Anolis sagrei: one gene and its partners. Each later gene encodes a partner of the first gene's protein in a complex. Links are inferred from orthologs where the notes say so. Each region holds a gene or a part of one and is shown on either strand. Other genes may lie near its edges. The genes, in order: NRIP1, RORA, PPARG and ESRRG.

What was found.
Region 2: the proteins of NRIP1 (region 1) and RORA are in contact, whole or in part, in a crystal structure (PDB 4S15), measured with the Homo sapiens proteins. The link is inferred for Anolis sagrei from reciprocal best matches to the Homo sapiens genes NRIP1 and RORA. Residues at the interface, in NP_001426204.1 of Homo sapiens: Thr499, Leu500, Leu501, Gln502, Leu504, Leu505, His507; in NP_599023.1 of Homo sapiens: Gln332, Val335, Lys339, Phe344, Met345, Gln349, Gln352, Ile353, Leu356, Pro505, Leu506, Glu509, Leu510.
Region 3: the proteins of NRIP1 (region 1) and PPARG are in contact, whole or in part, in a crystal structure (PDB 9CWN), measured with the Homo sapiens proteins. The link is inferred for Anolis sagrei from reciprocal best matches to the Homo sapiens genes NRIP1 and PPARG. Residues at the interface, in NP_001426204.1 of Homo sapiens: Ser130, Thr131, Leu132, Leu133, Ala134, Leu136, Leu137, Ser139; in NP_056953.2 of Homo sapiens: Val321, Gln322, Thr325, Lys329, Phe334, Leu339, Gln342, Val343, Leu346, Lys347, Pro495, Leu496, Glu499, Ile500, Lys502.
Region 4: the proteins of NRIP1 (region 1) and ESRRG are in contact, whole or in part, in a crystal structure (PDB 2GPP), measured with the Homo sapiens proteins. The link is inferred for Anolis sagrei from reciprocal best matches to the Homo sapiens genes NRIP1 and ESRRG. Residues at the interface, in NP_001426204.1 of Homo sapiens: Ser378, Leu379, Leu380, Leu381, Leu383, Leu384, Lys385, Ser386, Gln387; in NP_001429.2 of Homo sapiens: Val277, Ile280, Lys284, Phe289, Leu294, Gln297, Met298, Leu301, Gln302, Lys448, Leu449, Glu452, Met453.

The regions. Positions count from the first base shown.
Region 1 is NC_090023.1:61,573,677-61,580,691, reverse strand, and holds the start of NRIP1 (nuclear receptor-interacting protein 1), read left to right. Parts: upstream 1-3,997; 5' UTR 3,998-4,310; intron 4,311-7,015. UniProt on the Homo sapiens protein: Modulates transcriptional activation by steroid receptors such as NR3C1, NR3C2 and ESR1. Also modulates transcriptional repression by nuclear hormone receptors.
Region 2 is NC_090029.1:3,134,847-3,142,037, forward strand, and holds the start of RORA (nuclear receptor ROR-alpha), read left to right. Parts: upstream 1-4,173; 5' UTR 4,174-4,428; coding exon 4,429-4,741; intron 4,742-7,191. UniProt on the Homo sapiens protein: Nuclear receptor that binds DNA as a monomer to ROR response elements (RORE) containing a single core motif half-site 5'-AGGTCA-3' preceded by a short A-T-rich sequence.
Region 3 is NC_090022.1:64,554,156-64,561,800, reverse strand, and holds the start of PPARG (peroxisome proliferator-activated receptor gamma), read left to right. Parts: upstream 1-4,633; 5' UTR 4,634-4,719; intron 4,720-7,645. UniProt on the Homo sapiens protein: Nuclear receptor that binds peroxisome proliferators such as hypolipidemic drugs and fatty acids.
Region 4 is NC_090021.1:35,092,578-35,100,202, forward strand, and holds the start of ESRRG (estrogen-related receptor gamma), read right to left. Parts: upstream 3,020-7,625; 5' UTR 3,019-3,019; coding exon 2,860-3,018; intron 2,152-2,859; exon of another isoform or gene 2,021-2,151; intron 984-2,020; exon of another isoform or gene 896-983; intron 1-895. UniProt on the Homo sapiens protein: Orphan receptor that acts as a transcription activator in the absence of bound ligand. Binds specifically to an estrogen response element and activates reporter genes controlled by estrogen response elements.

The DNA of each region.
Region 1 (7,015 bases):
TAGAGTACTTTTTAAATACCAGTAGCCAAATTTTGTTCATTTTCATGTTGAAATTGTCCACCTGCTTGTGGATTTCAATGGCTTCTCTGTGTAGTCTGACATGGTGTTGTTAGAGTGGTCCAGCATTTCTGTGTTCTCGGATAATATGCTGTGTCCAAGCTGGTTGATCAGATGCTCTGCTATGGCTGACATATCAGGTTGAATTACTCTGCAGTGCCAAACAGACAACAGTTCACTCCCCCACCCTGGACATTCCACAGATATATAAATTTCACTTGTCTAGTCTCCAACAGAATCCTCAACCTCTGAGGATGCCTGCCATAGATGTGGGCAAAATGTCAGGAGAGAATGCTTCTGGAATATGGCCATACAACCTGGAAAACTCACAACTAACCAACAGTAGTATATTTTTATATATTTTTTCTACCTCAACATGGCAAATGTTTAGTTCTGATAGTCACCGAGGCAGGGCAAGAGGATGGAGACTTTTGTCCAGGACTATGTTGCTCAAAGACTATGTGGAAAGTGATGTGAACCCTGCAAAAGGGCATATTTAAACACATTTTTAAACCATCCCAGTTTAACCAAGGTGTGACATCTCTGGAAAACTAGCAATATAAAACATTGCCTGTCTGGTGCATTATTATAATTTTACTTCACCATTTTGAGACAAAAATAAACAGGCTATACTACTGTTGGGTTGTGAGTTTTCGGGGCTGTAGATTCCTGACAGAGCAGAGCTTTCCAAACTGTTTTGTGACAGGTTAGTGCAGGTATGGGCAAATGTTGGTCCTCCAGGTGTTTTGGACTTCAACTCTCACCATTCCTAACAGCCTCAGACCCTTTCTTTTTTCTCCTTAGCCACATAAGCATAAGCAGCTGAGCAGGGAAGGAAGGGGCCCGAGACTGTTAGTAATGGTTGAAGTCCAAACCAACTGGAGGGCCAACGTTTGCCCATACATGTGTTAATGTGTTTGCTATAGTGCAGTGGTCCATGGACCACCAGTGGTCCCCAAGAACGAAAATATGGTCTGTAGCCTCACCATTAGTACACCATTGCCTCGAAACCATGTGGCATTGAGAGTGACTGATCTCACGAAACCCTCTTACAGTGCCAAGGCAACAGGGATGTCAGAAGGGGAGAGGCTGATTCCTCATGAAAGGGTACTACTACAACATCAGCTCTAGATTATTAAATAGGTGGGGGGTTTTTTGTGGGCAAACCGATGATGACTACCGAATGGTATATTGTATCTTCTGTATCTTCTGTATCAGAAACTAGAGCTGACTAGAGCCGTCTGCAAAGACATTACCCTCGGGATGCCCAGATTTCTGATGTGTTACTATCCTTGTGGGGAGCTTCTCTCATGCCCTCCCCCCCCATGGGGAGCTGGAACTGACAGAGGGAGATCATCTGCGCTCTCCCTGGATTTGAACCTTCGACCTGTCGGTCTTCAGTCCTTCCAGTACAGGGGTTTAACCCACCGCACCACCGGGGAAATGTTGATCAGCCACCAGTACCTTGGCAGCTACCTCTCCACAAAAGTCAACATTGACACTGAAATACAACACCACCTGAGCTCTGTGAGTGCTGCTTTTTTCTGAAAGAAGCAGAGAGTGTTTGAGGACTGGGACATCCGTAGGGATATCAAGGTGCTTGTTTATAAAGCAATTGTCCTCCCAACCCTGCTATACAACTGCTAAATGTGGACTGTCTACAGACATCACATGCAACTCCTGGAACTATTCCACCAGCGCTGCCTCTGGAAAATCCTGCAAATCTCTTGTGAAGAGAAGCAGACAAATGTCAGAGTGCTGGAAGAAGCAAAGACCACCAGCATTGAAGTGATGGTCCTCCGCCATCAACTCCGCTGGACCGGCCACGTTGTCCGGATGCCCGACCACCGTCTCCCAAAGCAGTTGCTCTACTCCGAACTCAAGAATGGAAAACGGAATGTTGGTGGGCAGGAAGTGATTTAAAGATGGGCTCATAGCCAACCTTAAAAACTCTGGCACAGAACTGGGAAGCCCTGGCCCTTGAGCGCTCTAGCTGGAGGTCAGCTGTGACCAGCAGTGCTGTAGAATTTGAAGAGGCATGAATGGAGGGTGAAAGAGAGAAACGTGTCAAGAGGAAGGCGCGTCAAGCCAACCCTGATCGAGACCACCTTCCACCTGGAAACCAATGCCCTTCACTGTGGGAGACAAGCCCGTAGCCAGGATTTCGTTTCGGGGGGGGGGGGGTGTGAATTTTTTTCAGGGGGGTTTCGGGGGGATGAGTTTCAGGGGGGGGCTGAGTCTGAGTGAAAGAGTGTCTACCCTAGCAAACCTTTTGTATCATTACCCCAATACCCCCATGCATATGGGATATATTGAGTATGGTGATCAGATCATGATATGAATAAACATAACAGTTTAAGTAATGCACCAGTAAAGCCTTTTCGCGAACCACCATGAGAATTTCGGGGGGGGGGGGGGCTGAAGCCCCCCGAGCCCCCCCCCCCCCCGGCTACATGCCTGGTGGGAGAAGATGCAGATCAAGAATAAATAATAATAATAATAATAATAAAACTTTATTTATACCCCGCTACCATCTCCCCAAGGGACTCGACGCGGCTTACATGAGGCCGAGCCCACAGTACATCAGCAAAAAACATCAAAGCAGTAATACAAAACAATAAAATAAAACTCATAAACAAAAAATAGGCAGTAAACATCGATAATAACACAGTAACATTTAAAAACCAATGGTTGGGCCAAATGTAATAGTTAAAATTAAAAAAATAATGCGGGACAAGACCAGGTGAAATATAACTAGAATAGAATTTCGGAAAAGAATGGGGTGTACAGACAGTTCTAGATCACTAATAAGGTGTAATTAGGAACATATTGGTGGGAGTTTCCTTATTCTGGGAAGGCACACTGGAACAACCACGTTTTCAAGCTCCTCCTAAAAATTGCCAAAGTTGGGGTGTGCCTAATATCCTTGGGGAGGGAGTTCCAGAGTCGGGGGGGGGGGCACCACCGAGAAGGCCCTCTCCCTCGTCCCCACCAATTGCGCCTGCGATGGAGGTGGGAGCGTGAGTAGGGCCTCTTCAGATGATCAAAGAGATCATGTGGGTTCGTACACAGAAATGTGGTCATGCAGGTAGGCAGGTCCCAAACCATTCAGGGCTTTGTAGGTAAGAACCTGCACCTTGAAGTGGGAATAGGGCTCCACAGTCACCTACAGACCCACCACCAGTACATTGATCTTGGAAGACTATCCTACTCGGACAACGAGGGATCGCCTAAGGAAGTAAGTAAAGTACCACCGGGGACTCCTACTGGAGCTGATGTGGTCTACCCAATGCCATTTTCTGAATCAGCACCTCAAATAACCAAAGAGAATCTAAAGTTGACTGAAAACTGATTTGTAACCCTTTTGGTACTAATGTTGGAGAGTGGTCCCTGGTCAAAAGAAAGGTTGAGAACCACTGCTGTAGTGTGTAAATGTTATGAGAAATGAGAAGAAAAAACATCTTTGGAATATGTTATGATGTTACCCATCATTTCTCCCCCCCCCCCCCCCCGAGATGTATTGTATTCCTTGTTACAATGGCTACTATGTCTTGGCCCTTCCCTCTTCTCAAGGGTCTGTTGAACCTTGGGCTTTGCTAGTAAACCTGCGTGACTGTCGCAAAAGGAAGCCTGCCTTCAAAGTGTGTCACCAACAAACAGGAAGGGTTTGAGGGAAGCTGCGTGCAGTCCCGACCGAGCCTGGAGGTGTCCCTCCCCGCCCTGGCTTCCCAAGGCATCTGCCTTCCTGTGTCAAGGGGGTGGCGGGGGAGAGAGAGAGAGAGAGAGAGAGAAAGGGGGGAAGGAAGAAAACCCAGTGAGAAACTTGGCTGGAGCGATGAATGGCGAGGAGAGGAGGCGGGTGGAGGGATTGTGACAGGCGGAAAGGAGGAGGGAGAGAGAAAGGGAGGGAGAGAGAAGAGAGAGAGAGAGAGGGCAGGCGGGAGAGGAGGGAGGGAGGGAGGATCACAGGCTGCGGGTGAAGCTTTGAAAGTCAGCCTCACAGGCATTGCAGCAGAGCCCCGAACCGGAGAGAGAGGAGGAGGAAGAGGAGGAGGAGGAGGAGACTCGAGGCGTCTTTTCCTGTGGAGAGCCAGCGAGAGGCGCAGGAGGAGACCCGAGGGGGCGAGAGACGCCTGCCTTCCTCCCTGCTCTGCGCCTTCCCCGTTTCCCTGGCCATTCAAGCCTCCGGAGCCCGGGCGTTTTGGCCAAGCGAGGCAAAGGAGAAGAGGCCAAGCAGAGCGAGGCGGCCAAGGGTGAGTCGAGTGCCTGCTTGGCGACGCTGCTGCTGCTGCTGCCACCGTGGCTTGGCTGGGCCGCCTTTCCCCTCTTACGGAGGGGGAAGGAAGGGCGAGAGAGGGAGGAGGAGGAGCAGGAGGGACGGAGGAAATGGCCGCGGAGGTTGGCGGGGGGCTTTGGGGAGAGGCAGAGGGAGAAGAAGGCAGAGAGAGAGAGAGGGAGGCAGAGGCGCTGCCCTGGCAGATGGGCAGGAGCGCGGAGCCAAGAGGCGAGAGGGCTCAGGGCGCAAAGGGAGCCTCTCATTAGTCTTCTTCGCCTTTGAATAACAAGCTCGGGAAGCCAGGCTAGGAGCTGTCATTCCCGAAGGAGGGAGGGAGCATATCAACAACATTGTTTCCGGTAGCAGGCAGGCAGGTTTTCAATCCCCCCACCACCACCCACCACCACCTTTCCCTCTCTGAAATGGACACCTTACAACCTCACAACCTCTGAGAATGCCTGCCATAGATGCAGGCGAAACGTCAGGAGAGAATGCTTCTAGAACACGGCCAATTGAAACATTGACACCTACCTCCAACAGACAAGAGTTCTTTATCCCACCCTGGACAACCCACAGATATACAATCCCCATTTTCCTAGTTTCCAACAGACCTCTCAACCTCTGAGGATGCCTGCCACATATTTGGGCGAAATGTCAGTAGATAATGCTTCATGGCCAGACAGTCTGGGAAACTTACAAAAAAACAGTGATTCTGGCCATGAAAGCCGCCAACAAAACGTTGGACACTTAAAGTTTGATCATCCCTTAGGGCCCTTCCGCACAGCCCTATAGCCCAGGATATCAAGACAGACAATCCCACAATACCTGCTTTGAACTAGGTAATCTGCATCCACACTCAGATAATGTGGGGTTTTCTGCCTTGATATTCTGGAATATAGAGCTGTGTGGAAGGGCCCTCAGATAACTCAGTTCAAACCAGATATTGTGGGATGTCCTGCCTTGATATTCTGGGATATAGGGCTGTGTGGAAGGGCCCTTAGACATGGGTGGGCAGGGAAAAGTTGGGGTCTCCCCCTTCCCCTCAGTGCCTCTTTTGACTGATTGAAATCACCAGGAATCCCCTGAAATGTTCACCTCTTCTGCCTTGTATTCCCCAGCCCTTTTACACAGCCCTACATCCCAGAATACCCAGGCAGAAAATCCCACATTATCTGAGTGTGGACGCCGATAACCCAGTTCAAAGCAGATATTGTGGTATTTTCTGCCTTCATATTCTGGGATATAGGGCTGTGTGGAAGGGCCCTGAGTATAGGTTCAGATAACCCAGGGCCCTTCCACACAACCATGTAACTCAGAATATCAAGCCAGAAAATCCCACAATATCTGCTTTGAACTGGGTTATCTGAGTCCACACTGCCATATATTCCAGTTCTAAAGCAGATAATGTGGGATCTTATTCAGCTTTGTGGAGGGGGGTGGGGTGCCAATTCAAAGCAGATATTGTGGGATTTCCTGCCTTGATATTCTGGGATATAGGGATGCCAAGAAGCCCCCCCCCCCCTTTCCCTGAATTATCCCAAGTCTTGTGCGCCATGGCTGCGGCGGCGCCTCTCAGGAAGCCAAGCTGGGCACAGGCTCGCACAGCTTTGAAAGATCCATGCACTTTGACTGCCATGGCTCTGTGCTAAAACTCTCTGGTGTTGCAGTTTTACAAGGTCTTACGCCTTCTCTGCCCAAGAGTGCTGCCGCCTCACCAAGCTACACGTGGCTATGGGCCCTTCCACACAGCCCTATCTGCCAGAATATCAAGGCAGAAAAGCCCACATTATCTGAGTGTAGACCCAGATAACTCAGTTCAAAGCAGATATTGTGGGATTTTCTGCCTTCATATTCTGGCATATAGGGCTGTGTGGAAGGGCCCTATGATTCCAGAGCACTGAGCCCTTGTGTGCTGGCAGGATTGCTGGTCAGTGGTTCAAATCCAGGGAGAGCGGGTTGAGCTCCCTCTGTCCGCTCCAGCTCCCCATGCGGAGACATGAGAGAAGCCTCCCACAAGAATGGTAAAAAATCAAACACCTGGGCTTCCCCTGGGCAATGTCCTTGCAGATGGCCAGTTCTCTCATGCCAAAAGCGACTTGCAGTTTCTCAAGCTTCTCGTGACACAAAAAAGGGCCCGTCAACACTCAAACATATAACTCAGAATATCAAGGCAGAAAATCCCACAATACCATCTTTGAATAGAGGGTGGTGCAATGGGTTAAACCCTTGTGCCGACAGGACTGAAGACTGATAGGTGAGTGGGTAGAATCTGGGGAGTGCAGTTTGCGCTCCCTCTCCCCATGCAGGGACATGAGAGTAGCTTCCCACAAGGATGATAAAACATCAAACATCTGGGTGTCCCTTGAGCAATGCCCTTGCAGACCGCCAATTCTCTCACACCAGACACGACTTACAGTTTCTCAAGTTGCTACTGACATGAAAAAAAAAATCTTTGAACTGGGTTATCTGAATCCACACTGTCATATATTCTAGTCCAAAGCAGAAAATATAGGATTTTATTCAACTGTGTAGAAGGGGTCTCTGACTGCATCCATTCCACAGTTGGGGTGCCCCCTTGGTCTCCCCTCTTTGCCTCCTCCTCTTCCTCCTCAGCTCTCCTTTCAAAGGGATGATCTCCCCTCCTTAGTCGCCTGCAAAACCACACCAGGCAAGGCCATGCCT
Region 2 (7,191 bases), on another chromosome or scaffold:
TTGGCACAATGGGGTTGGACTGGATGGCCTATGAGATCATTTGAACATTAGGTAGAACTTCCTGACTGTGAGAGCCGTTCAGCAGTGGAACTCTCTACCCAGGAGTGTGGTGGAGGCTTCAAAACAGACGCTGGATGGCCATCTGTCGGGAGTGCTTTGAAGGCAATCTTCCTGCTTCTTGGCAGAATGGGGTTGGACTGGATGGCCCATGACTGTGAGAGCTGTTCAGCAGTGGAACTCTCTGCCCCGGAGTGTGGTGGAGGCTCCTTCTTTGGAGGCTGGATGGCCATCTGTCAGGAGTGCTTTGAAGGCAATATTCCTGCTTCTTGGGAGAATGGGGTTGGACTGGATGGCCCATGAAGTCATCTTCGTGACTGTGAGAGCTTGTTAAAAGTATTGCAAAATGTGCAAAATTATATTGTTCGTTGAATGTATTTGGTTATGTTTGTGGGTTTGTGCCTTTAATTGTTGGAATGCTTGTGGTTTGGGTTTGGTCAATTGGGTGCAGGTGGAGCTCATTGCTGCTGTTCTAATGGTTTGCATCTGCCTGCAGTCTTTGGTCTGGTCTGATTTCTGAGTTTCTTTTTGTTTCCACTATGAATCTGTACTAAAGTAAGCTTCTGCTGTAGTATTGTTATTTTTATTTGATGTTATAACTCTGCTGACAGAGCCGTTCAGCAGTGGAACTCTCTGCCCCGGAGTGTGGTGAAGGCTCCTTCTTTGGAGGCTTCGAAACAGAGGCTGGATGGCCATCTGCTGGGGGTGCTTTGAACGCGATTCTCCTGCTTCTTGGCAGAATGGGGTTGGACTGGATGGCCCATGAGGTCATCTGAACATGAGGAAGAACTTCCTGACTGTCAGAGCCGTTCAGCAGTGGAACTCTCTGCCCTGGAGTGTGGTGGCGGCTCCTTCTTTGGAGGCTTTGAAACAGAGGCTGGATAGCCATCAGTCAGGAGTGCTTTGAAGGCAATCTTCCTGCTTCTTGGGATAATGGGGTTGGACTGGATGGCCCATGACTGTGAGACCTGTTCAGCAGTGGAACTCTCTGCCCCGGAGTGTGGTGGAGGCTCCTTCTTTGGAGGCTGGATGGCCATCTGTCAGGAGTGCTTTGAAGGCAATCTTCCTGCTTCTTGGGAGAATGGGGTTGGACTGGATGGCCCATGACTGTGAGACCTGTTCAGCAGTGGAACTCTCTGCCCCGGAGTGGGGTGAAGGCTTGTTGTTTGGAGGGTTCGAAACAGAGACTGGATGGCCATTTGTCAGGAGTGCTTTGAAGGCAATCTTCCTGCTTCTTGGCAGAATGGGGTTGGACTGGATGGCCCATGACTGTGAGAGCTGTTCAGCAGTGGAACTCTCTGCCGCGGAGTGGGGTGGAGGCGCCTTCTTCGGAGGTGTGCCATCTGTTGGGAGTGCTCTGAAGGCAATTTTCCTGTTTCTTGGCACAATGGGGTTGGACTGGATGGCCTATGAGATCATTTGAACATTAGGTAGAACTTCCTGACTGTGAGAGCCGTTCAGCAGTGGAACTCTCTACCCAGGAGTGTGGTGGAGGCTTCAAAACAGACGCTGGATGGCCATCTGTCGGGAGTGCTTTGAAGGCAATCTTCCTGCTTCTTGGCAGAATGGGGTTGGACTGGATGGCCCATGACTGTGAGAGCTGTTCAGCAGTGGAACTCTCTGCCCCGGAGTGTGGTGGAGGCTCCTTCTTTGGAGGCTGGATGGCCATCTGTCAGGAGTGCTTTGAAGGCAATATTCCTGCTTCTTGGGAGAATGGGGTTGGACTGGATGGCCCATGAAGTCATCTTCGTGACTGTGAGAGCTTGTTAAAAGTATTGCAAAATGTGCAAAATTATATTGTTCGTTGAATGTATTTGGTTATGTTTGTGGGTTTGTGCCTTTAATTGTTGGAATGCTTGTGGTTTGGGTTTGGTCAATTGGGTGCAGGTGGAGCTCATTGCTGCTGTTCTAATGGTTTGCATCTGCCTGCAGTCTTTGGTCTGGTCTGATTTCTGAGTTTCTTTTTGTTTCCACTATGAATCTGTACTAAAGTAAGCTTCTGCTGTAGTATTGTTATTTTTATTTGATGTTATAACTCTGCTGACAGAGCCGTTCAGCAGTGGAACTCTCTGCCCCGGAGTGTGGTGAAGGCTCCTTCTTTGGAGGCTTCGAAACAGAGGCTGGATGGCCATCTGCTGGGGGTGCTTTGAACGCGATTCTCCTGCTTCTTGGCAGAATGGGGTTGGACTGGATGGCCCATGAGGTCATCTGAACATGAGGAAGAACTTCCTGACTGTCAGAGCCGTTCAGCAGTGGAACTCTCTGCCCTGGAGTGTGGTGGCGGCTCCTTCTTTGGAGGCTTTGAAACAGAGGCTGGATAGCCATCAGTCAGGAGTGCTTTGAAGGCAATCTTCCTGCTTCTTGGGATAATGGGGTTGGACTGGATGGCCCATGACTGTGAGACCTGTTCAGCAGTGGAACTCTCTGCCCCGGAGTGTGGTGGAGGCTCCTTCTTTGGAGGCTGGATGGCCATCTGTCAGGAGTGCTTTGAAGGCAATCTTCCTGCTTCTTGGGAGAATGGGGTTGGACTGGATGGCCCATGACTGTGAGACCTGTTCAGCAGTGGAACTCTCTGCCCCGGAGTGGGGTGAAGGCTTGTTGTTTGGAGGGTTCGAAACAGAGACTGGATGGCCATTTGTCAGGAGTGCTTTGAAGGCAATCTTCCTGCTTCTTGGCAGAATGGGGTTGGACTGGATGGCCCATGACTGTGAGAGCTGTTCAGCAGTGGAACTCTCTGCCCCGGAGTGTGGTGGAGGCTCCTTCTTTGGAGGCTGGATGGCCATCTGTCAGGAGTGCTTTGAAGGCAATTTTCCTGCTTCTTGGGAGAATGGGGTTGGACTGGATGGCCCATGAAGTCATCTTCCTGACTGTGAAAGCCGTCCAGCAGTGGAACTCTCTGCCCTGGAATGTGATGGAGGCTCCTTCTTTGGAGGCTTTGAAACAGAGGCTGGATGGCCATCTGTCGGGAGTGCTTTGAATGCAATATTCCTGCTTCTTGGCACAATGGGGTTGGACTGGATGACCCATGAGGTCTCTTATGATTCTATGACCTGACCTGTGTCAGGAAGATTCCCAAGGCCACATTCTTGGGAGAGTCCCTTCTCTGCTTTTCTCAGGACAGAGTGGTGGAGGTTTGTTCTTTGGAGGCTTCGAAACAGAGGGCGGATGGCCAAGCCTAGGATTCTAAGCAAGTCTATGCAAGGCGCACGGCCTCCCTCCGGCCTCTGATGCAGGTTGGATGCTGAGTGCCTGTCTTCTTGGCAGAATGGGGTTGGACTGGATGGCCCAGGAGGTCATCTGAACATTAGGAAGAACTTCCTGACTGTGAGAGCCGTTCAGCAGTGGAACTCGCTGCCCCAGAGTGTGGTGGTGGCTCCTTCTTTGGAGGCTTCGAAACAGAGGCTGGATGGCTATCTGTCAGGAGTGCTTTGAAGGCAATTCTCCTGCTTCTTGGCGGAATGTGGTTGGACTGGATGGCCCAGGAGGTCATCTGAACATTAGGAAGAACTTCCTGACTGTGAGAGCCGTTCAGCAGTGGAACTCGCTGCCCCAGAGTGTGGTGGAGGCTCCTTCTTTGGAGGCTGGATGGCCATATGTCAGGAGTGCTTTGAATTCAATCTTCCTGCTTCTTGGCAGAATGGGGTTGGACTGGATGGCCCATGACTGTGAGAGCTGTTCAGCAGTGGAACTCTCTGCCCCAGAGTGGGGTGAAGGCTCGTTCTTTGGAGGGTTCGAAACGGAGACCGGATGGCCATTTGTCAGGAGTGCTTTGAATGCAATATTCCTGCTTCTTGGCAGAATGGGGTTGGACTGGCTGGCCCAGGAGGTCTCTTCCAACTCTTGGATTCTAGGATTCTATGACCTGACCTGTCTCAGGAAGATTCCTAAGGCCACATTCTTGGGAGGGGCCCTTCACTGCTTTTCTCAGAGGTTTGGTCTTTGGAGGCTTTGAAACAGAGGCTGGATGGCCAAGTCTAGGCTTCTAAGCCAACTCTGCAAGTCGCACGGCCTCCCTCGGGCCTCTGATGCGGGTTGGATGCTGAGTGCCTGTCTACACGCGGAGGAGGAGGGGCTGCGAGAGAGAGAGAGGAGAGAGCGAAAGGGGGGGATGGAGAAGGAGCGAAGCGGCGTCAAAGCTCTCGCTAGCGCTGCTTGTGGCCACACAGCCCGGATCTCTCTCTCGTTCTCTCGCCTGCCTTGCCTTGCCTGCTTCTCACCCGGAGACCGAGGAAGAGAGGCGAGAACGAGGCGAGGAAGGAGGAGAAGGAGGCGAGGAAGGGGCTCTCCTGCCGCCCTGGACCAAGGCAGGGCCAACAAGGCAGGAGGAGGAGGAAGGCAGGAGGAGGAGGAGGAGGAAGAAGAGGCAGGAAGATGGAGTCGGCGCCGGGGAGCCCCGCCGAGAGGGCAAGCGAAGCCGACGAAGCCGCTTTGGGCCCCACGGAGGCGGCGGGGAACCCCACGGAGCCCGTGACAACAGAAGGAGAACGAGGAGAAGGAGGAGAACGAGGAGGAGGAGAGGAAGAAGGGAGCCCCTCCGAGCCGCAGCCTCAGCAGCCCCAGCCTCAACCTCCGCCGCCCCCCGCCAACCGCCGCCAGAGCTATGCCTCCTCCTCCTCCTCTTCTTCCTCCTCCTCCTCCTCCTCCTCCAACGGAAGCAGCAGCACCCCCCGAGGAGAAAGGCCAGGTAGGACACTCCACGCACCCCCTTTCCCCCACCGGGACGTGCGCCCCGGACAGCTCTGAATGGGAGACACTGGGAGGAGAATGAGAGAGAGAGAGAGAGAGAAGAGGAAGGGGTAGGCCCCGCCCCCATCCCCGCCTGGCTCCGCCCACTCCCCCCTCCCCCCGGTGGGGAAGGAAGGGAGGAGGGAAAGAGGGAGGGGGAAGGAAGGAAGGAGAGGTGTTTACCTGCCGCACGTGTCCAGGCCGGGTCAAGGCTCCCCCAACTCCCCAACCATCACCATCCTTCTTCCAAGTTCAATGTTCTTCTCCTTCTAACAAGGGTGGTGGGCATCTCCCAGAGGATTACCTCTCCCAGAGGATTGAACCAAATGTGGCACACAGAACTCCCCGGATTACAGAAAATATATATCAGTGATTGGGTTTTTTTTTTGGGGGGGGGGGGGCAAAATACTGCTGAAAATTATTTCAACAGTATTTTGCCCCCTCCCCAAAAAAACCCAATCACTGATATATATTTTCTGTAATCCGGGGAGTTCTGTGTGCCACATTTGGTTCAATTCCATCATTGGTGGAGTTCAGAATGCTGTAAAAGTGTACTGCGACCGCTTACTCTGCGTAATGGACGAGCCGCCCCTGCTCTTGAGGTGCTCTTGGGGGAAAAGAGACCCAGTACATCCCAGTAACTACGACTTGCATATGTCAAGGTCTATTTTCCCCCAAGAGCGCCTCAAGAGCAGGGGCGGCTTGTCCATTACGCACAGTAAGCGGTCGCAGCACACTTTTTTTTTTTGCCAGGGGCGCACATAAATGTCCCTCGACCACCACTGTAAATGCCCCTCAACCGCCACTTGAGGAGTGTCCCCTCAGCTCACAACAGCCCTAGGATGGTCTCCCCAGCTTGGTTCTCCAACCATCAGCATCATTCCTCCAAGCTCACCATGATTTTATTCTTCTCCTAACAAGGATGGTGGGGATCTCCTCAGACTCAAAGGTGGTGCTCAGTGAATTCCTCAGCCACAAACATCATTCTTCCGAGCTCAATATTATTGTATTCTTCTCCTAACAAGGATGATGGGAGTCTCCCCAGCTTGGTTCTCCAACCATCAGCATCATTCCTCCAAGCTCACCATTGTTCTATTCTTCTCCAAACAAGGATGGTGGGGATCTCCTCAGACTCAAAGCTGGTGCTCAGTGAATTCCCCATCCACCAGCATCATTCTTCCGACCTCAGTATTATTGTATTCTTCTCCTAACAAGGATGATGGGAGTCTCCCCAGCTTGGTTCTCCAACCATCAGCATCATTCCTCCAAGCTCACCATTGTTCTATTCTTCTCCAAACAAGGATGGTGGGGATCTCCTCAGACTCAAAGGTAGTGCTCAGTGAATTCCTCAACCACAAGCATCATTCTTCCGAGCTCAATATTATTCCATTCTTCTTCTAACAAAGATAATGGGTGTCTCCTGGGCTTGGTTCTCCAAGCTCACCATAATTCTATTCTTCTCCAAACAAGGGTGGTGGGAGTCATCCTTGGTAGATGATGGGAGTCTCCTCAAACCCAAAGGCCAATCTCAAAGGTGATGCTCAGTTGGTTCTCCAACCACAAGCATCATTCTTCCAAGCTCAGTATTATTCTATTCTTCTCCTAACAAGGATGATGGGAGTCTCCCCGGCTTGGTTCTCCAACCATCAGCATCATTCTTCCAAGCTCAGTATTATTCTATTCTTCTCCTAACCAGGGTGGTGGGAGTAATCCTTGTTAGATGATGGGAGTTTCCTCAAACCCAAAGGCCAATCTCAGATGTGATGCTCAGTTGGTTCTCCAACCATCAGCATCATTCTTCCAAGCTCACTATTATTCTATTCTTCTCCTAACAAGGATGATGGGAGTCTCCCCAACTTGGTTCTCCAACCACCAGCATAATTCCTCCAAGCTCACCATTCTTCTTCTCCAAACAAGGATGGTGGGAATTTCCCCAAACTCAAAGGTGGTGCTCAGTGAATTCCCCAACCACCAGTGTCATTCTTCCAAGCTTAGTATTATTCTATTCTTCTCCTAACAAGGATGATGGGTGTCTCCTGGGCTTTGTTCTCCAAGCTTACCATTATTCTATTCTTCTCCAAACAAGGGTGGTGGGAATCATCCTTGTTAGATGATGGGAGTCTCCTCAAACCCAAAGGCCAATCTCAAAGGTGATGTTCAGTTGGTTCTCCAACCACAAGCAACATTCTTCCAAGCTCAGTATTATTCTATTCTTCTCCTAAGAAGGATGATGGGAGTCTCCCCAGCTTCTCCAATCACCACCATCATTCCTCCAAGCTTACCATTATTCTATTCTTCTCCAAACAAGGATGGTGGGAATCTCCCCAAACTCAAAGGTGGTGCTCAGTGAATTCCTCAACCACAAGCATCATTCTTCTGAGCTCAATATTATTGTATTCTTCTCCTAAC
Region 3 (7,645 bases), on another chromosome or scaffold:
ATAATCCCAGATTATCAAAGCAGATAATCCACATAATCTGCTTTGGACTTGATTATATCAGTCTACATTGCCATATAATCCAGTTCAAAACTGATAATCTGGATTTTATATGGCAGTGTAGAAAGGGCCCTAAGATTATCTACTTTTAACTGGATTATGGGACAATGTAGACTCATATAATTCAGTTCAAAGCAGATAATCTAAATTATCTGATTTGATAATCTGGATTATATGGCAGTGCAGATCCAGCCTGTAAATTAGAAGTGACTTTGATCCCTTCTATACTGTCATATGGTCCAGACCATCAAAGCAGATAATCCACATTATCTGTTTGAACTGGATTATATGAGTCTATACTGCCATATAATCCAGTACACATCGGATAATCTGGATTTTATATGGCAATGTAGAAAGGGCCTTCAAAGCACACACAACAACAATGAATTAAACAATGCAGATATAAATTCTGTTTTTCCTAGCGTAACAGAAACAGAAATCACACACAATTTTCTCTCTCTCCTCTAATGGATGAATAGCTCAGTCCACTTGAGTTCAAAATACAATACTTCTAAAGCTGCTAAAGTTAGTTGTAATTTCTGGCAAGATGCCTTGTATTTGATGAGAAATGAGTGCCAGAGCTTGGGCAAGTTGTTGCTTCCAGACTGCAAATCACAACTAACTTTAGCTGCAGCAGAACCATTCTATTCTGAAAAGGGAAGAATTGATTTATTTCCTCTGGATGCACGACAAATGTGTAACACATATACATTTTTATTAAACCAGTTTTGCAGTCAAGTTTTGTATTTCCCCATTGCTCTTTTAAAGCCATAAATCCCTCCTTATTGGCCATATTTTTCCTGGTTTTAGGCTGCATCTACACTGCAGAATTAATGCAGATTGACATCACTTTAACTGCCATGGCTCAATACTATGGAAACATGGGAGTTTACTTACATCAGGTTTTTAGGCTGCTCTGCCAAAGAGTACTGGGGCCTCACCAAAGTACAACTTCCATGATTCTACAGCATTGGACCATGATAGTTAAAGGGGTCTCAAACTGCATTGTTTCTATGGTGTGTAGATGCACCCTTAGTCAACAGTAGCATGGAGGCTTGGCACCACCATGTAGCTATGGGGGCATCGGTATTTCTGGGGGTCTTCTGCTTCCATACTCTTAGCTGCTGTTCAGGAGCATCATGACACAATGTTTGTTTGTTTTTTAGTCCTGTTGGTCCTTTCTATCTTCTGTGACTTATAACTGCAACATGTTCTCTCCTTCTAAGTTCAAAGTAATAGCATTCTCACCTCACTCTTTCTGAGTAACAAGAAGGATTAGAGCAGTGGTTCCCAAGGCAACAGTGTAGTATGGTGAGGCTGTGGACGATATTTTCGTTCTTTTAGACCACTGGTTGGGAACCACAGGTTGGACCACAGGTTGGGAACCACTGGATTAGAGTCAGAGGACATTGTAGCTGCTCCGTAGAAACACAGTTACAGCCTTCAGGCACCATGGGCCCTACCACACTGCTACACCATTTTAGCATTATTATATCACCTTTACTGCCATGGCAACATTACATGGAATTCTGGGATGTGCAGTTTAGTGAAGAGCATTTACATTTCCAAGCCAGAATGCACTTGGATATCCATCAATCTTTGGGTATAGAAAAAATAACTTGATAAACTTTTTTTGCATGGTTGATAGTATAGCAAAGGTGGAAAACAAAACTGAACATTGAAAGCTCTCTCTGTGTTCTTATGAAAACATGTACAGGCAGTCCCCGAGTTACAAACATCCGACTTACAAATGGCTCATAGTTAAGAACAAAGGGTAGACAATAAAAAGTGAGCGGAATCTGCCCCTAGGAAGGGAAATCCACTCCTGAAAGAATTATCATGTGGAAAAGGGGTCTCCACTGAAGCTTTCTCACTAATTCTTGTTTCCACAACAGCTCAAATTTTTCAAAATCCAATTATCACAGAAAGTGAGGTGGAATCTTATGAACAAGGGCACAGACAGCAAAACAAACACCACATGAGTGGAGTTACACTTGAAAAAATTACCTGTTCTGACTGTCATACAAATTCAGCTTAAGAACAAACCTACAGGACCTATCTTGTTCATATCTTGGGAACTGCTTGTATTAATATCAGTACTCTTGGTTCCAGGACCCTCGTGGACACCAAAATCTGTGCCATCATATACAATAGAATAGTAAAATGCTGTGCCTGATATACGATAGCAAAATCAAATTTGCTGTTTGGGACCATTTTTACTTTGAATCCATAGATACAGAATTTGTGGGTATGAAGGGCCAGCTGTATATCTTTTTTTTAAAGGTAATTCCCCCCCCCCCCCCCAAAAAATTAGAGATAGAAAAGCCAACCAGGAGGAGGGGACTCTGTAATTAATTTACCAGAAAAATATAAACTCTTTAGACCTCTAATATTGAATTAACAATAAAAAAAACAATAGAAGACAGTAGGTGCCAAAAGCATATTTTTAGCATAGATACCTGAAAGATGATATGAATGGTGGCCAAAGCTATCTGGAGCAATGAGGAAGAAGAGCACAAGAAAAAAAGAGTAGATGAAGAATACGGAAATAAATAATTGCTGGTTACTCAATGGACTCATCATATCACTTCTCTTGAGTTTCTCCTTGAGGAGTGGAAAGCACTGTCAAACCTGATGGATCGGTCCAGGTCTGCCCTGGTTCAACTTTGCTGAGCTTCTCTTCAGACGCATCCATACTGTTGAATTAATGGACTTTGACACCATTTTAACAGCCACAGCTCAATGTTTAGCACCAGCACTCTTTGGCAGAGAAGACTAAAGACCTTGTAAAATTACAAATCCCATGATGCCATGGCAGTTAGTTTTGTCAAACTGCATGAAATCTACAGAGGAAAAGCAACCCCCCACACACTCCTGATGGTGGATGGGATCCACTGGGAGGACAAGGCATGGAAGGGAGTTGTTGCAGTGATGTTTTGGAGGGGGTCTCTGTGTGTGTGTGTGTGTGGTCCTGTACATGTCCATGCAAGCCTCAAAATAGCCCCGTAATGTTGTTTCTCTCCGACACCCTCTACATTCAGGGCCCTATCACACAAGCTTGCATTATCGCTCCACTTCAACAGCCATGGCACCATTCAGTGGGATTCTGAGATTTGGACTTTGTGATGAGTCTCAGTCAAGAGCTCTCTGGTTGACAACTCTCAATGCCATTTTCCAAACAGCAGTCCATGGGACCTTGCCGTGACAATTAAACTGGAATAACAATGCTGTAAGAGTGGCTGCATCCACACTGTACAATGATGTTTGTCACCACTTTGACTGCCCTGGCTCAATGCTATGAAATCCTGGGAGCTGTAGTTGGGTTGTGGAGCACCCAGTGAAGGTAAAAGTAACGGTTTTACCTGAGTCCCCCTTCGGGGGTAGAGAAGGGCGGGATACAAATATTTGAAATAAATAAATAAGGTTTCCCTTCATGTCCTACTCTGGGGGTGGTGCTCAATTCTGTTTCTAAACTGAAGAGCTGACGTTGTCTGTAGATGCCTCCCAGGTCATGTGGTACCTATTGATCTACTCAACCATTTGCATGTTTTTGAACTGCTAGGTTGGCAGAAGCTGGGGCTAACAGCGGGAGCTCAACCCACTCCTCAGATTTGAACTGCCGACCTTTTGGACAGCAAGTTCAGCAACTCTGTGGTTTAACCCGCTGCGCCACCAGGGGAAACCTTTACCTTTACCTTTATGGTTGGGTGAGGCACCAGCACTCTTTGGCAGAGAAAGCTAAAGACCTTGTGAAACGACAACTCCCATAATTCCATATCATTGAGCCATGGTGTCAAAGAGCATTAATTCTACAGTGCAGATGCACCTAGCAAAAGCATGGGCAAACTTGGGCCCTCCAGGTGTTTTTTTGGACTTCAACTCCTACCATTCCTAACAGCCTCAGGCCTTTCCTTTTCCCCCTTAGCCGCCTAAGGAGTGACCTAAGGCTGTTAGGAATGGTGGGAGTTGAAGTCTAAAACACCTGGAGGGCCCAAGCCGGCCCATGCCTGACCTAGCATCAGGTGGAAGTCTACACCTGTTTCCACACATGTGCTCCCCACGCTGGATCTGTGTGTGTAGACTCTCACACCAGGCAGTTTCAGTGCTATTGTCCCCCTTTTCCCCCCAGAGTGCATCTTCACTTGTAGAATGAATGCAGTTGGACGCTGCTTGAACTGTCCTGGCTCAAGGAAGATGCCTTCTCTGCCCAAGAGTGCTGGTGTCTCACCAAACTACAACTTCTAGGCTGCCATAGCGTGGAGCCCTGGCACTTCAAGTGGGGTCAAGCGGCATGACTGACTTCAGCAATGTGTGGACTGGGTGGGAAGTGAACGCGAAAACCTTCCAACTTTCCAACTCCTAGGATCCCATAGCCTGGCATGTTGCCTTCCTTCTCGGGTGTGCTGCGCCTCTCTCAGCCCATGCCCATGCCCATGTCCTCCTCGGTGGCTTCCTCTCCAGCGAAGCGCCAGCCTCGGTCCGCCGCCTCCTCCTCCCCTCCTTCCTTCCCGGGGGGGGGCCGTGTCCGTCTCCCGGGCGTGGGCTGGGCTGGGGGGCGGGGCTGGGGGCGGGCCCTCCTTCCTGCCCATAGGGCGGCCCGGGTGGGGAAGCCCAGATGCCACCAGGCGAGGAGACTTTCCCCAGCCGCGCTGACAGCACCAGGTCAGTCCCAGAGAGAGCGGAGAGGGAGAGGGAAGGAAGGAGGGCGCTCGGGTCCGGCACTCTTGGCCAGAGGAGGGAGGCTCCAGACCACACGTCAAACTGCATGAACTCTCTGTGGAGTGAGAAGGGGGCAAGCCCGTGGCGAGGCAAGGGGTGAAGAGGGCGCATCGGGAGCCAGGAAGGGGGCTTCTCGCTGGGGAAGGGTCCCTCTTGGCCAAGGAAACCCTCTGTGCTGGCACTCTTTGGGCTCGCCATCAGTCCCAAGGGGGCTTGGGCATCAGATTGGGGTTTGGTTTCACTTTATCCGAGGAAGAGAGACCCAGGACTCATTGAATGGAGCCGGTGGAGAGAAAGGGGAATCTTCACGATCATCCTCTCTTTGGGTTGCTGTAAGTTTTTCGGGCTGTACGGCCACGTTCCAGCAGCATTCTCTCCTGACGTTTCGCCTGCATCTATGGCAGGCATCCTCAGAGGTTGTGAGTTAAGACCTCTGAGGATGCCTGCCCTAGATGCAGGCGAAACGTCAGGAGAGAATGCTACCGGAATATGGCCATACAGATCAAAAAACTTACAGCAACCCAGTGATTCCGGCCATGAAAGTCTTTGACAGTACATCCTCTCTTTCTCAATCTTTCTTTCCTTCTCTCTCCCTCTCTCACATGCCCACCCAAGCCCCCCTCTCCAATTCATAAATATAGTTGTGTCAGGGCTTGAAAGTGAAGTTCAAGGACTTAGTTATACACAAATAGTGTAATGGGGGCTTCTCCTTTGGAGGCTTTTAAACAGGGGCTGAACAGGGACAGTAAACGTAAAGGTAAAGGTTTTCCACTGACATTAAGTCCAGTCGTGTGCAACTCTGGAGTTTGGTGCTCATCTCAATTTCTAAGCCAAAGAGCCGGCATTATCCATAGACACCTCCAAGATCATGTGGCCAGCATGACTGCATGGAATGCCATTACCTTCCCACCAGAGTGGTACCTATTGATCTACTCACATTTGCATGTTTTCAAACTGCTAGGTTGGCAGAAGCTGGGGCTGACAGCAGAAGCTCACGCTGCTCCACAGAATCGAACCTGTGACCTTTTGGTCAACAAGCTCAGCAGCTCAGTGCTTTAACCCACTGTGCCACTGGGGGCTCCTGGTGTCCAGGGATACTTTGTGCTTTTCCTGCATGGCATAGGGTTGGACTAGATGGCCCATGTGGTCTCTTCCAACTCTATGATTCCAAGGGCCCTTCCACACAGCCCTCAATCCCACAATACCAAGGCAGGAAATCCCACATTATCTGAGTGCGGACTCAGATAACCCAGTCCAAAGCAGATATTGTGGGATTTTCTGCCTTGATATTTGGGGATATAGGTCTGTGTGGAAGGGCCCTCAGTTGGAAAGGCGTTTTGTGGCTCTTCAGTCTTGTCCAGGAGAAGCTTCAGAAAGGGGAGAGGGAAGGGTTCAGTGCCCACTCCAGCCACAGGTGTGTGGCCTACCTTTGCATCCAAATCCAGGGATGAATCTTGTTCCCAGTAGATGCAGGGATCTTCATAAGGGTGCACTGTCTGTTCATCAGGGAAAGATGGGCTTCTCCTGTAGGGGCCCATCCACACAGCCATATAACCCAGAACATCAAGGCAGAAAATCCCACAATATCTGCTTTGAACTGGCTTATCTGAGTCCACACTGCCATATATTCCAGTTCAAAGCCCCTGGTGGCACAATGGGTTGAACCCTTGTGCCGGCAGGACTGAAGACCAACAAGTCAAAGGTTCGACTCCAGGGAGAGTGCGGATGAGCTCCCTCTGTCAGCTCCAGCTCCCCATGCAGGGACATGAAAGAAGCCTCCCGCAAGGATGGTAAAACATCAAAACATCCAAGCGTCCCCTGGGCAACATCCTTGCAGACGGCCAATTCTCTCACTCCAGAAGCGACTTGCAGTTTCTCAAGTTGCTCCTGATACAGAAAAAAAGCAGGTAATGTGGGATTTTATTCAGGGACCTAGGTTGGGCTGTGCCACCTGGAGCAGATGTGTTAAGTTTCCTTTCACAAAACATGTGTCATAGTTATCTATATTAAAGTGGGACAGATTGACTTCTGGGATAGGTCCACTGTGTTCTCTGCCACAACCTCAAGACACCTATATCTGTGGTGATGCTGCAGGGGAGGAGGCAAGGTGATGGAAAGGAAGCCTTTTGAAAAGACTGGTGGTTTAAAAAAAATGTGTTTCCTAACCACAATCGAGAATGTTAATGTATACACTAATGTTCCAAGCATAATCCTGCCATAACAGATATTATACATTGTGAAATATATGATGCCTCGGTGTCATATCCCGAGTCTGCAGGAGTGTTTTGTAAGTTTCCCACTGTCATTTCTCCCAAGGGCATTCTGCACTGGAGACTGCGCGTTCCTGTTAGTGTTGTAACTTTGAGGCAATACGTATGAGTTATGATCCAACTTGGTAGCAAGGTCATAATTTTATACAGTTGTGCCACGTGGAAGTTTCCTTTTGGTACCATTTTGAGGAGTTTCTTTCTAGGGTCCCTTCCACACAGCTGAAAAAAATCCCACATCTGCTTTGAACTGGAATATATGGCAGTGTGAATTCAGACAACCCAGTTCAAAACAGATATTGTGGGATTTTCTGCCTTGATATTCAGGGTTATATGGCTGTGTGGAAGGGCCCTGATGGCAGCTGATGTCCTGAAGGCAGCTGATGTCCTGAAGGTACTAGATCCTTTCTAATCTCAGATGATAAGCAGGGTCAGCTCTGGTTGGTACTGGGGTGGGAGACCACCAATGAATAACAGTTACTGCAAGCTGTGTTTTGGAAGACTGACAGATTGGAGGTTTGAATCCGGGGAGAGCCTGGATGAGCTCCCTCTGTCAGCTCCAGCTCTCCATGCAGGGACATGAGAGAAGCCTCCCATAAGGA
Region 4 (7,625 bases), on another chromosome or scaffold:
GCTGTTCCGTTGTGCCTTCTCAGACTAGGAATCCCCACCCCAAGTCCTAGTAGCACCTTAGCATAACTAATTGTCGCTGCACACTGCACTTTTAATCCCACGTGCCTCCTGCCATTTCAGCACTTTTAACCCTTGTACCCCAGTGCGCCGGCCGAACCAGTTTTAATAATGTCTTGATGTACTGCTATTGTGGTTATTTTGCTTATTGTTTGATTTGCTTAGTTATTGTGGTGTTATGCTATTTTGTTTATTGCTGATTTGCTTGCTATTGTGATGTTATGCTCTCTATTGTATTGTTGTTTTGAGGCTTCGGCCTGTGTAAACCGCATCGAGTCCTTCGGGAGATGCTAGCGGGGTACAAATAAAGTTAATAATAATAATAATAATAATTGTAGGAGTTGAAGTAAAAAAAACCTGGAGGGCCAAAGTTTGCCCATGCTTAGTCTAAATGCACTGGGGAACCTGCATGTGGGAGGAAATCCTCAGCATCTTGAGTGAAACATGGCTAGGATGGAACTGTTCATACTTCATTTCTCTTTCCCATTTCTAAAGATCTGAGCAGAGTACGGGTGGAATGGGGGCTTGCTTTCTGCTGAGCTTCTGCACTTCCAAGTTTTGTAAACATGCAAGGCTGCCAGTGTTTGTCTTTGCATCACTCTGAGAGAGAGAGAGAAACATGCTCGGGAGCTGGAAAGAAAAGGCTGTGCACTTTGACCATGTTTATGCTGAAAAGGGGCCGCATGCCTGTTTGCAAACCTATGAGGATGCCTAAAGGCAAACAGGATGATGCCTGTTAATATTGGTCTGTTTTATTTGCGTCTCCAAAAAAGGAATAAGCAAGAGAAACTTTGTTGATCAGTGTTACCAGTATTAACTATTATTATCTGAATGCAAGTTTTATACAGTTCAAAGGCGTTTCTCCAAAATAACACTGTGGGACCGTCCAGCAAACTGAACTGTTCGGCAGTGCAAAGGAGCCAAAGGTATGTACAATAATTTGGATATTGGTCCCAATGAAGTCATTTCCAAATAGAGATACATTGGATTGGGCTATATCCCATTTAAATCTTTAAATATGTTGGCTTGTATTTGGTACATAAATATTTTTTTAAAATCTCTGAAGTATCTCTTCAGAGCCGCTGGTGGTGCAGCGGGTTAAACCGCTGAGATGCCGAACTTGCTGACTGAAAGGTCAGCAGTTCAAATCTGGGAGTGGGAGTGAGCTACTGCTGTTAGCGCCAGCTTCTGCCAACCTAGCACTTTGAAAACATTCAAATGTGTGTAGATCAATAGGTACTGCTTCTGCGGGAAGGTAACAGCACTCCATGCAGTCATGCTGGCCACATGACCTTTGAGGCGTCTACGGACAACACCGGCTCTTCAGCTTAGAAATGGAGATGAGCACCACCACCCAGACTAGACTTAATGTCAAGGGGAACTTCTACCTTTACTATGGAAAATTATCTAACCCTTTACCCAAGGTTCAGATCCTTGTTCAGCCATGGAACTCACTGGGGCAAGTCACACTCTCATAACCTCAGAGGGAGGCCATGGCAAAATCCCCTCTAAATGAATCTTTTGAAGAAAATTATACTACAAGTTCATCTTAGGGTTGCTGTAAGTCAGAAATGACTTGAATGCAAACAACAGAAACAACCCACAAATACTCCACCTCTGGCTCCTGCATGTTAAAGCTACTGACCTGCTTCACTTAATACAAACACACTTAATACATGGATGCCAGTCTCCAGACTAACAACAGACATTTTTTGAAAAACTGCAAAAATAAAGTAGGGTACAACTTTATTATAAAGCAACCTATGTTTATTTCACCTATTTGTGAAATATAATAAGTGTATAATAATTATTATTTACATTATTATTATTATTATTATTATTATCATACCCTGTGCCACTGAAAATAGTGCTATATACAAGAATGCAATAATTATTACAATTTTTTTTAAAAACCACTTTTTCACTAATTCAGCAGTTTGTATGTTTTTTCTCCTGAGTGAAGCACTCCGTGATACAAATGGCATCATCGTTCAGATCAAAACAAATCAGTGCTCACCTTCAGAATGCATTAATGCCATTCACAAACGGGAATACAACAGCTGTCTCCAAGTCTATTTGAAAGCTTTCACCAAAGTAAGATGACAGAATGGAAGACAAATATATGTATGTGCAGTAGACATGTTTGTGCTTCTTTGCTTTCCTGAGCAACTTCTAGCATTTAATACATTTATCCCACGAACAGTTGCGAGTCTGCTGCTTCTATGCAGACAAATATGCACATTCTTAGGGATACAAATACACACCGCAGAAGTTGATCTCATCACCAGAGAAAACCAGGTGGCAAAAGCTTAATTACCAGTAACATTATTCTGCCTATACTGGTAAATGTAGCCTCTAATTAAGATGTAAATTTTAGTTCTGAATGGTGGATTAAAAGCAATCTGACATGCATCCTATCCAACCATTCTTCGGATTCACTAAACAAGCTGAGGGAAAAGATTAAGCATGTATTCTAATAGTGTCAGAATCTAACATACCTTCCTACAAATATTTCAATTAATAAGAACTGTTTGTAGCAGATGTGCTTAATTTCCATATAACTTATATATCATTTATATCCAAAGTCTGGATATAACAATATTGAAGCATATTCGTATACCCATTGAGTATACTCTTTGAATTCATCTATTCATCCATCTATCTTCGCACCTAATAAATCACATTCAATTGAAAGTTTCCTGAAAGCATACTTTTGTCCAGGCTTCCTAGTCTAAAGCCTAGATAACAATATAAACAGAGAATATATAATATTAAACTATTAGAAAATTATTTAAAAATTACCTCATATTGTCTTACGATCATTGTAGTTAGCTGTGGACATTCTTTGGACGACTGTCTGCTCTTCTGCTCTGCTTTCCCATCTATTACGCTGCTCCACTGAATTCCTGCTGTCCTCTTTCCTGTCCATGTCATCTTATGCTCCCCCCTCCAACACGACATTAACTATTGCTATCTTTCTACCAGGCACCTTGGAAGCATCTGTCTCTGCTGATGCTGCTTAGAAGACCACAGCCGTAGTATTATAATTTATGCATTCATGAAAGGCAGTTGGCCTTCCCCCCTGGGATTCAAAATGTCACCTCCAGTAGACCTGGGCTTGAAATTTCAACTGTGTTTTTGAACTTCTCATGCCAGTTTTTTAACAAAAGGAGAAACATCACAGTATTATTACCATCCTTGTTCATCTGAAAACTGCTTGTTACGTTTCATGTACTATTGAACAGGAAGACTCGTGAAAATATAAACAAGGCAAACCCACAATTTTCACATTATCAAAAATACAAGGAGTATTCTCTTTTGCTAACACACACACACACACATACCCTTGCTAAGTCAAATGCTGCTGTGTATAAACTCACCTCATGGAGTCGGCACAAAGCGATAGTGAAAATCAGAGCTAGGAGGGTGAGAGACGCTGTCCTGAGTATTTGCACCAGGCAGTGAGTGCTCTTGAACAGTGTCTACATCTTCACATCTCCTCTGCATATTTCTGCGGATAATTATCCCCATGCAGAGTACTGTATATCTTTAAGCACCCTCACACTTAAGTGCTACAGACAGCTCATTGCGTCCAAATTGCCCGATTCTGAAGCCACAGCTACCTCAAGGCTACTGAAGTAAAGATTCAATGGCACTTTGCAGAAGCAGTACAATTAATTGTGCCAAGTGCAGAAAAAGACCACGGAAGAAAAATACAAAGGGGGGCTTGGGTCTACTATGAGGTTACTAGGCACTTGCTCAGTTGTACGCCAAGTTATTTAAAAATCATCATGTCCTCTCCTGTGTTTATTTATTTATTTTTCTCCTGCCTTCCTCCCCATACAGGCACTCAAGGCAGCTAACAGCAAACGTGATACAATACAAATTAAAAACAAAAAATGGATGTAAATATGAATATAAAACTAACAAACAATTAAATCTTGGTGTCATGAAGCATGAACACTAAAATACGATTGCTGTTAAAACCATACACACACCCAAATCCCATTCATACCATCCCTAGCAGTCTGCCCCTCAAAAACATGTATCCCTTCAGTGCCAACAAATCCTATCACCTTTTCAATTGAGTTTGAATTAAGTGCTGCAATTTTTTGTAATTCACCTTGTATTGTCTGACGTTCATTGTAAAAGGACCAAAGTAATAGATTTGTTTAGATATACCATAGTACCTGGACAGAAAAATGCCAGAGAATACAGGATTTAAAGAATTGGGAAGCGAAGGGTTGACTTCCAAGGGCCTGTCTTTGCAAATACACCAATTCCAAACTCTCTTAATTGAAAACAAATATCCTAAGAAGCCATTAAGACTCATACATGTTTGCTGTTTGTCTTTTCTACTTTTCCTCAGAAAGCTCGGCACATCCCTGGCTCCAATAAAATTCCCTCCACACGCACAGAAAGTGACAAGCTCACTCTCTGAATTTCTTTGCACGCTTATGTACACTTGAGCAAATGGTAGTAGATTACTACTTTAGAGCCCATCTGCTGCTTTCATTTATATTTAGCAGAAATAATGACCACCCTGCCTAGATTTTAGACAAGGCGCAATGTTAGAATATGCTTTTAAATACAAGCTGCAGATAAGCATACATGTGCGTGCCTATGCATGTGTGAGAGTGCACATGCACACACTTCATCTCCCTTTATTTCTAGGTAAATATATGCAAAAGTTCTTTTTTCCAAGTAAAACATCATACCAATAATTTTATCCTATCATTGCTATATGATAGATCCACCACAACAGGTATTCTGCATCCGTAATTCTTCAGACAATTTCTATTTAAATTAGTACTAGGGATGTATTAGAAACTGATAAACTATACCATTCTGTAAAGCGACATTTTGCTTGCTGATTTAAATTCTCTTTTCAAGAACATCAGTAGACACTTACAAGTACTATCTTAGTTTTTTTTTCCCCTTTTCTTTTTCTAAAACTGATGTATAACCCATAGCGGACTCTTTTCCTAACACATGTTTCCTTAGAGAACCCCACGGTGTTACTGTCTTAGAAAACGAAGGCAAAGATGACTGAGGGAATTCAGTCACTCTGTTTAATTAATACAGGATTATTTCACTTTCATTTTGCGGAGATAATAATACGACTGGCGGAATGTCAGTAAAAATTAAATCATAAACTAGTGGAGTGCCAAGGGGAAAGCTTACTTTGGTTATGGAGTATCCCCTGTAGAAATCTTGAAAAATCTTCTACATATTTACACTAGTAAAATACCACATGCTGTTCCATCGGATAGTGAAAGATTTCGAGAATCTGCATGACATGTATCACAGAGCACATTTTTCAGATTATACATTAATAAGAGAGTTGAAGGTGTGTTGTTTCCTGAATGTTAAGTCACCAAATGCTAAATGATAAAGTACACTCAAGGTCAGCATTGCATTTTGGACAATCTCGGTCACTGATGTTATGATAATCGCATCTAAAATATTCGTACAGAAAGCACAAAAAGATTATTATGATAAACAACAGTACGAAAGAAAAGCAATTCATATTGCTTTCTTTCCCTCACAATAAATTGCTACTCTTTATTGGGACAATGAGGCCACGTATTTTGTTTTAGCCACTTTTTCTTCTAGTTCCCTACATAATATTTTCAAAGAGATTGAGAGAAATCTGTTTAATGTGAAAGAAGTTGTTTGGGTCTTTCTTTCTTTTTAAAAGCCACTTTGTGGAAAGGATTTTTTAAAAGCCAGTATAATCATCCACCCTAAAATCAAATTAGGATATCTCACCAACTATGGGACAAGATCAGATGGCTCTTTTCCTCACCTCCTGTCTCTCCCCAGCTTCCTACCTAACTGGAAGCTCAGGGCACTAAAAATAGAAAAGAAGATGGAGTGCAAATATTTCCCCAGTGAAAACACCAATAATCTTTACTGTGAGCTGACACGAATTGCTTGTTACACTGCCCTAGGATATCATGGCCTGAAGCGACAGCACTCACAGACACACAAGCGCGCACACACACACACATTCAAAGGCACTAAGCATCTCAAAAGCTAAAGTAATGTGCATTTGTGTAGGTGCATTTTCAGCAGACCTATGAAATCGGACGTCTGGTTGATACACCTGCCATACAAAACCCATCATTTGTAGCCTTCTAGGTTTTAGTTTCCTCTAAACACCATGGCCCATCTTTCTCTCCCTATCAATTCACTTTTCTCAGGCATTTTTTTTTTGTTATTAATGTTATTGCTATTATTACTGTGCAAGCATAAGCTGATCCACAGGGGAGCCTGTGCAATTTAACCCCTGAAGCGCTAATTTTTTTTTTGCACATGTGCAAAGGCACAGGTTTGTTGTTGCCTCTAGCAATATCCCAGCAAGACGAGTGATGGCGGTGTCATATCATCACATAGTGACTTAATCTATTGCGACATCCAGGGAATGGGCAACTGAAAAAGATTTACAGGACATGTTTTTTAACTGCATACAAACACATTATCCCCATTTTTCAGTAACCCAGCCACAGTGGGATCACACCAGAACAAATTTCACCCGCCTTCATCTTCCAGTTCCACATATTAAGCCCTGTGTCATCTAACCTGCTTTTTTGACCAAGAATGTAACTCTAATAAAAGCATTTTTGTAACATCTTACTTTTTTATTCTTTTCATGTCTCGTGTTTAACAAGCAGTCAGAGCGCGATGAATCACTGAATAGGGCAGCCGTAGTAGTGAGATTGTCCATGCACTGAAGGAAAGAGTCTTCCTTCTATATCCTTTTCAAACTGTCTGATATTACTGGTATGTTTAACAACAACAACAACAACAACAACTTTGTATACTGCCCTATCTCCCCAAAGGGACTCAGGACAGTTTCCAACAAAAATGGCAAACAGTCAATGGCAGAATACACTAACAAAGAGAAATAAATAATCCCTCAGATCCCAAAAGAAAATTCATAATGATAATAAAATTAAAATAATGACAGATAAACCAAAATTAAGAAATAACATAAGCAATCAACCACTGCATATCTAACATTAAAACATGATACAAATTCAAAAACAACTTAGAGGCAGCTCTTTTTTAAGGCATAAAGGATGTGGTTTTCAACTTTGAATACTTAGCTGCAACAAATATTGACAAAAAGAAAAATCACCTGTACTGTGCAATGGTAAAACTGACATATACAACCTTATCAAATGAAGGCAGAGAAGCATCTTCTCCCTGCTTCTCTGTGCTGCTGGCATGGAGTCCCCTGGAGCTACTTCTGGCGGGACTCTGGGGTTCCACTGCCCGCATGGAGCCCCAACGGAAGTACCCTTGCAACATGCTGACCCAACTAGTTCAAAAAATGCACTTGAGTCGAAGAGGAAGTGGGGGACAGCGGGGAAACGTGGGAAGGCAGAGGACAGACCCTGATGGTAGGGAACAGCCAGATGGGTTCCTAATCCTGGCCCACAATTTCCCCCATCGTCCCCCACTTTACAGAGGGCCATCTGATGAGGTCTATAGTCATTCCCTCAGCTTGACATACTTAATATGAGCATCATAATTTTGCTTCCTGCTCAGTTTCATTTTTT